Nothobranchius furzeri: one gene and its partner. The protein of the gene in region 1 purifies or fractionates together with the protein of each later gene. This does not show direct contact. Links are inferred from orthologs where the notes say so. Each region holds a gene or a part of one and is shown on either strand. Other genes may lie near its edges.

Region 1 (3,333 bases):
TGGTGGGAAGGAGCGGAACAAGATGGCGACAGCTTGTTTGAAACAGCTTTGGACTATTTAGACTTGGGCTTTTCTTTGAGGCAAGAGCAGATTCTTGAATCCTTATTTAGAAAAACTATATATTTGCGTCTTCTTCCAGGGTATCTGCAGGTTTAAGGGAGCCAAATTTAAGACTTTTTAAGACCTCATTTAAGGCCACTTTCACCAAATTTAAGCTATTTTTAAATTAAATTTAAGCTATAATTTCCAGCTATTGCCTGGAACCGGTGCTAACCACGTCGTAAATGTGGGATTAGCCATCCAGTTACCATTAATGTTGCACTTCCCCATGGCGCAAACTCCCACTAGCATGCTCATCTAAAAATAGCCCCCTTTCACAACCAACTGAATGTGTACGGTTCCGCTTACCCCAATATCGTACACAAAAAATACTGAACTAACTAGAAATTCATGAACATTTTATAGAAATAAAAGAATCTTGTTTATTGGGTCTTTGGTAATTTAAGACCTTTGGAAACTATTTAAGGATTATTTGTCATTTTTAAGGATTTTTAAGGCCTTACATTTGGAAAAGCAAATTTAAGACTTTTTAAGGACCTGCAGCTACCCTGTTCTTCATCCGTGTATGGCGTACTGCCTCGTTGACACATCCGTAGCAGAGAGGATGTCATGTTGTTCGTTGTCCAAGAGCATAAGGAGACAGTTTGATAGACATCCATAGGTTCGGCCCCACGACAGAGCTCTGTCTATATATCCACATATATAGTCTAGCTTGCCAGGCTAACTTGTGCATTGCAGTTCATTATTCCCATTAGTCATTAGTTTCCTACCTAAGGAAACCCAACAGATTGCATCGAGTCACTGACTTGTTTTGTCAGTGACTCGACAGCAATCCCCAAACTAAGCAAGCATGTAGTGACAGTGGAGAGGAAAACTCCCCTTTAACAGAGAGAAACTTCCAGAAGAACCTGACCCAATAGCAGATTAACTACTGGTTGGACTTTCTACATTAACTCATTCACTGCCAGAAAAGCCCTTCGCTGCCAGCGTTTTTCACCGTTTTTACTGTTTAAGAGTCACAGAACGTAGCACTTTATGATGATGTCAACGCCAAAACTACCAAAACAAAGCGGAGACTCACCTGCGTTTCTAGCGTTATCTGTTGTGTAATAATCCGTTGTCGAATTGTGATCGGCAGAAGCTTTTCCGGTTCGCGCCTCACTTTTTTTACAGCAGTGGCCCAAAATGATCTCCTAACACATGATTTTCTGTTTCCTGATCACGTGACGTACGTGGATGAAGATCGGCTTTAGAGCTGAGATGTTTGTTCTCACGGAGCGGGGGCTCGTTCTCACGCCCACACAGTAAAAAAAATGCCAAAGACGAATTTAGTCATCATTGGCATTGAACGGCTGGATTTAATATGACGACTTTTCTCGTCAATGGTTGTGAATGATTTAAAGAATAATGTCCAATACTAAACCAAAACAACTCTAAAACGGTCCTAAATGCTTGACTTACTGAAGACAAACAGGGTCTCAATCAAAAATTGCCAATTACCCCGTAAGTATCTGATCCTTGACACCAGGCATGAAAGCACAGGTGATTGTTTTCTTTTTCATTACAACAATAAACTACATTATAAACGTTTTAAAGACCTACCCTGAGTAAATGCCAGTCTTCGCACACAAATATACTAACGTAGTCTTTGCAGTCACGGCGTTCAGCCAAGGCCATGTAGCCTCCATCTTTACTGAAGTCTATACCTGTGTGAAGAAGACGCAATTAGAAAAAGCAGCAACAAGGTTGATATTTTCCATTGTTTCGACCACTGGCTCCTGCAGGTAATTACGACTTTAAAGCATTTTACTTATTCTAAATAATAATTTTAAACGACAACTATTGTTTCCAGCTGCCGTCACACCCTTGCAGAAACCCACGAGTCACAAGCTGAAATTATCCATAGGGTAACAGATTTACTTTACTGGTTCTAGTTTAATATTGTGTCATGATGAGTTACAGCAAACTCTTAGAAACGTTCTGATTTTTAAAGAAGATAATCTGACCCTCTTGTGTCGGCATAACAGCTGCTTCTAGGTAACTTTAGTGATTTATGCTTCCGTTTACTGATTTAATTAATACTCAAATGTGGATTTTCCACAGTAGAATCCTTACATATACTAATGTTAACATCTCTGTGCATTAAGTGGCAAACAGCCTCTGTCTACGCTGGTAAAACACATTAAATCACACTCTCCTATGCGTTCCATCCCATGTAATTATCTGATTCTTTGGCACCATAAAGTCTGCGGCATGCAGCCATCATGGCCAAATCGTTTATATGACAGTCCTGGAGATAAACGCATTGCAGAGGGGCATCGTATTACACGTGGAAAATGAGGAGAGTCTGGGACAATCATATTTCCACTAGTTGCTGACAGGTCTGTTATGAAGAGCATGCCCCATTTACTGGAGAGGGACACAGCTGTCAGCAGAGGGGACCAGAGTCTGGACACATATTCTGGGCTGTGCCGCAAGGTAAAGAGCCGTTTGTGATTAATGAGGCACGCCAAGGCGCTCAGCTGACCCTGTCCTCAGGTACTCTGGTGGTACATGCTCTTTATAATCATAATACCATCCTCATACTCACCCTTCTGACACGCTTTGGGATACTTCATGTAAGACACCGCTTTAGTGCACAGGGACCAGACGGTAACCCTCAGCTGTCACGGCAACAGAGGAAAGAAAAAATGTTAACCAAAGACACGAATAATTCACAGTAAATAGAATTAAACTTTCTACACATCATCATGTGTCTATCAGCAAACCCAACATGGACCGGCCTGCACTTAAAGTGTTTGTAGATGGGCTGTTGTGTTGAGTAGAAATAAAAAACACTGATGCAGTCTGGAGTTTTCTCCCTTTCAGGAACTACATGACTTTTGTAGAAATGTGTGTGTCTTACCCTGCACTGCGTTTCAAATCTAGGCAATACGTCGATTTATTTTTTGCTAAGCCCGTCTCCCATCCTGTAGAGCCCCGTGTAATTTGAATTGAGCGCTGTTCAGCATTAATTAAGTTAGACATCCACTTGCGTACAAATGTCGTTCACAAGCGTCTGAGGTCGTACCTAAACTGATGTAGAGTTGGTGACATTTCTTACGGATGAGTACATTTAAAAAAATAAACGAACAGCATGATTTACAATTATAAAACTGTGTTGGAGCTTTGTTGCTCAACTAGAGGTGTGCACTGACAAACATTAAGTAGTAGATCTAAAATGTAAAATATTAAAAGCAGAGCTTACGATGTAAGCATATGCAAACATATGTG
Region 2 (4,255 bases), on another chromosome or scaffold:
CTGAAAGTAGGTCGGTATTATTGTCTAACCCTCCCACTGTCTTCATGGGTGACCCCCCCCCCCCAAAGAAAGTTGACCACTGAGCAGGATTGATGGTTTATCTCTTGGGTCCACGTGGCAGGGGTGAGGAGTGAGCCCCACCTCACCCCTGCCACGTGGACCTCAAGGGATAAACCATCAATCCTGCTCAGTGGTCAACTTTCTTTGGGGGGGGGGGGGGGGTCACCCATGAAGACAGTGGGAGGGTTAAAAAACCTGTTGGCATAATTTTAATAAAAGTTATTTTCACTGAAACAAAAAAGCGACCACATTTATTTTTTCCATCACCTACATTGATCTTTTTGGACTTTGGACTCCTGCCCCTGTCTGGACTGCAACTTGGACTCAGTCCTCGGACTCTTTTGTAGCGCTCAGCTTCTTGGCGATAGTAATTCCTCTCCTCCTCAAGACTCTTGACAAAAGCATCTAGACGCGATGGGGAGTGCGTTCTTCTACAGACACCATGTTCAGCACGCATCGTCTCCAACTCCAGAACCAGCTCTTTGTCTGGAACACAAGCATCAACAAACACAAGTTCAATTTGAAGACGATGAAATCTGAGTATTAATAACCGAGGTATCCCAGAATATTGCTAACCGTCGGCCATCATCTTCTCCACTTTGTCCTGCAGCCTGGTGTTCTCCTCTTCCAGGAAGTTCAGAAGTCCCTCCAGCTTCTGGTTTTGTTCCTTAAGCTCCACCAGCTGATTTCTGAGACGATCTCTTTCAAATTCTCCTTCAGACTGTTCCTGAACTCAAACATGTCACTGGACGGGTTAAATTTAAATTTATTGAACTATAGAAACAATTAAGATAAAAAAGTTGTGTTTTACCTTTCTAGCCTTCGTGATAATATCCTCCAACTCTTCAGTGATTTTCTGCTGCCTTCCAATTTCTTTCTGCAACCAAACAGATGCTTTAGTGTATTTTATGGCATTTAAAAACATGATCTTTACCTGAAATGCATCTAGTTTATTTACCATTGACTTTATTTTCTTACTTTAGTTTCCTGGAGCTCCATGTCTGCAGTTTCCAGCATCCGCTCCTTGTCCATCTCCATGCGCTTAGCGAGGTGATCGATCTGAGTCAGCTCTTCGCAGAGCTCCAGGTTCTTTAACGACAGACTAGCCACTTCGGTGGAGGCGTCCTTCTTTTTCTGATGCAATCCCTCCATTTTATGTTCCAGAGTTCTGTTGGTTTCCTGTAAGTACTCAATCTAGAAGACACAGATTACAGTTAGGAAGCACCAGCACTCCCTGACAGACGCACCTATGTGAATATGTTTATCTCCAGTGACAGTGGTGCATGCCTGAAGGTTAAGATGGGCGATCAGTTTCTCATTGCTGACGTTCTGAGCTTCAAGAGAAATGACATCATAAGGGCGTCCCCCGTGGAGTACATGATTCAGACGCTCAATCTCTTTGTCCCGTTCCTCCACCTACTCAAGAGACAGCTTGTTAGACCTTAAAGAAGCCTCACCACACGCCTGATTTTGCCGTCCTCACCCGAGTGTTTATATGTTTAACACATTCTTGGGACTTTTCCAGGTCTAGTTTGAGCTTGATGATTTCCTCCTGTAGCTCATTAATTCTACAAATCAAATTAACTGTGAGTCCAGACGATAACGGAAATGTGAAGGTTTATAAATACCCACACATGCATTATGAAGCAACTTCAACGAAACACACCTTCCATCAGCCAGATGTAGTAGGTCAGCAATGTATGGATCATCTGGCTGCTGGACAGGATAGGTAGATGTAGAGGTGGGAGGTATGAGCTCATCAGTGTGCATTCTCTGTCGTCTAAAAGGAATACTCCGCTTCTTCCCACCTAGTCACAAAGAAACAGGTGAGTAGAAGAATTTCCATCAATGATCACACCCTGGTCAAGAGTTGTACCTGGAGTCTGCACAACAGCGTGCAAGTTCTTCTCCTGCAGCTGCTGAATGCGCTCAGCTTTAGCCTTGCTGTCCTTCTCCAGGCAGCGAACCTTATGCACGTACTGGTTGTTCAAGAACTTCAGGTCCGATGTCTCATGGTCCAGTTTTCTGATGCGAGTTTTGAGCTCTGCCAAGACACGATGGCTGGGTGTGGGTTAACACACCAGTCATTAGAACCTGCAGGTAAGAATGGGGAGGAGGGGGTGTTTCTTAACCTCTAGTGATCTGATCTTTCTCCTCCCTTAGTTTCAGAAGCTCCAGGTGCAGCTCGTTGTTCTCCCGGACCACCCTGGCGTTCTCGGTCCTGTAGGGCTCCAGCAGAGCATCGACGTTTCGGCTCTCCTTCTCGGTCTTTCCTGCTGATAGTTTGGCATTGCGCAGGCTCTCTGTTGTGTGGATCAAATCACTGCAGCAGAGGAAGAATCGCATCTTACGTTACTGACACTAATAAAGGGAATAAAAGGTAAGAGAACAGAAAGCTGGGTTCACCTGAACAGCTTCTCCACCAGTGGCAGTGAGTCTATCCCCAGAGGTTGTCTGTAGCCCAGCTGATCCAGACGTTTCCGCAAGTTTACGTATTTCCTCTCTGCGCTACTGTTCATGATGGTGATGTTGAGATTGCCAACTCCTAAATTAACAAAGGTGCTTTAAATATGCATTTATAAGGTAACAAAGGCGTACTAAAGATAGCAGTGTTTGCTAACATACTTTAGCGTTACTAACATACACAAATAAAACAACACATTGATACTAGCATAGTTAACTGGCTGTTTTGTTATCATTACTGTACCTACCAATTGTCATTGAAATAGTTAATGAGCTAACTTACCGTGCTTAAAAACCCCGTTCGCGGCGGCTAATGCTAGCTAAATATTTATCACCGTAACGCTACATCATACAGAAACGTATCTTCACTTGGACAAATGTCCTGGCTCAGCCACACTATAACACTACTTTGTGAATCCCGTTATGTGTTTATAAACGGGTGAGTTAACATGTTTCCGCGGTAAGCTGGTTTGAAAAGAGCGCCGACAAAGTTTCGGGGTTTGTATTCGTCACCATGGAGGACGAGAGCAATTTGGCTAGCTTGTTATGTCAACTGGCGTCGCCCGTGGGAAAATCGAGGGGTGGAGTTAAGCACAGATTTTTATCTCAAGTATTTTTTTTTCTTTCAACAAATGAGGTACAATAATCATCTGTTAGTTGATGCTTCAACTGCAAATTTATTATGTACAATTGACATAAAGAGAAAAACGACAAAAGATGTAGGGAGGAGCTCAAAAGAAGCACACATGTAGTGTTGAAATTCCCTTTAAAAACAACACAGGCACATATGAAATGTTCACAATCCAAAAGGTGTTATATTACATTTAATAAACCTTCAGTCGGGAAGCAGGTGTGACTTGTGACAGAAACAGTGAGCGGCAACTAAACTAGTGAGACTGAGCGATGCTGGAGAAGTACTCCAACATGTCCTGGATGGTGAACTCCATGGTGATTCCAGATCCAGGATAACACCTGCCTATCAAACCCTCAAAGTGCTTGTACTGCCTGATGAACTCATCCTGCGTGGAGTGCCACACCACCTGGTGGAGTTCAGAAGAAAGTGCAACAGTTGGAAAACAGCATTAAGAAGGCAATATCGGTGTTAAACCCTGCTGAAAAATCTGCATGAGTTTTGGATGCTGGTCCAAAATCCAGTTAACTACATCCCATGCTGGACTAGCATACCAGCATCCAAAACACGGCATATGCTGTTTTAGTCAGCAGGGAAGTGAGTGATTTCATGAACTCCTTACCTGTAGTAAACTTTCTTCCTCACACAGATGTTTGTCCACCTTCCTGTAAAGGTTGTCGAGCCCCTTTTTCACTTCTTTGCCAGGGTATTCTTTGATGACTTTGCGTAGCTCTTGCTTGTTGAAGGCCAGCTGGTAGCTGACCTCCTCCTCACGGACCCCCTGGGCTACGCGGGCCTCAACACCTTCAAAGAAATGCTGAAAGAAAATTTACAATATGCTTAAAAATTTGTTAAAATGAACTACATCATTCTTTACGTGGCACAACAAAAAGACGAATCTCCTTACATTAAGCTTCTCCAGTGGCTGGCCCAGAGAGTTGATTACATACGACTGCAGGTGGTCCGTGTATTTGTGTTTGGCTTCTCGCCTCTCCGCGTCCAGGCAGGAAATCTTCAGACGAGACAACGTGGAAAAGATGTGGTGGAAGTTCTCCATCATAACGACGTCCCGCGGTGTCTTCTGGCTTTCATTGGCTACCT

What was found. Proteins that work in one complex are often made in the same cells at the same time.
Region 2: the proteins of wrap73 (region 1) and cep135 purify together in Homo sapiens (co-immunoprecipitation; 6 studies listed by BioGRID and IntAct, counting the BioPlex papers as one, with this or other methods). This does not show direct contact. The link is inferred for Nothobranchius furzeri from reciprocal best matches to the Homo sapiens genes WRAP73 and CEP135.

Annotation. Positions count from the first base shown.
Region 1 is NC_091755.1:32,175,990-32,179,322, forward strand, and holds part of wrap73 (WD repeat-containing protein WRAP73), read right to left. Parts: intron 2,724-3,333; coding exon 2,651-2,723; intron 1,767-2,650; coding exon 1,663-1,766; intron 1-1,662.
Region 2 is NC_091748.1:40,510,645-40,514,899, reverse strand, and holds the start of cep135 (centrosomal protein of 135 kDa), read right to left. Parts: upstream 3,054-4,255; 5' UTR 2,807-3,053; intron 2,606-2,806; 5' UTR 2,580-2,605; coding exon 2,467-2,579; intron 2,384-2,466; coding exon 2,193-2,383; intron 2,105-2,192; coding exon 1,937-2,104; intron 1,869-1,936; coding exon 1,727-1,868; intron 1,629-1,726; coding exon 1,544-1,628; intron 1,477-1,543; coding exon 1,348-1,476; intron 1,255-1,347; coding exon 1,039-1,254; intron 938-1,038; coding exon 872-937; intron 788-871; coding exon 637-787; intron 547-636; coding exon 332-546; intron 1-331. Other genes in the region: exoc1 (exocyst complex component 1), read right to left, coding at 3,411-3,563, 3,777-3,971, 4,062-4,255. UniProt on the Homo sapiens protein: Centrosomal microtubule-binding protein involved in centriole biogenesis. Acts as a scaffolding protein during early centriole biogenesis.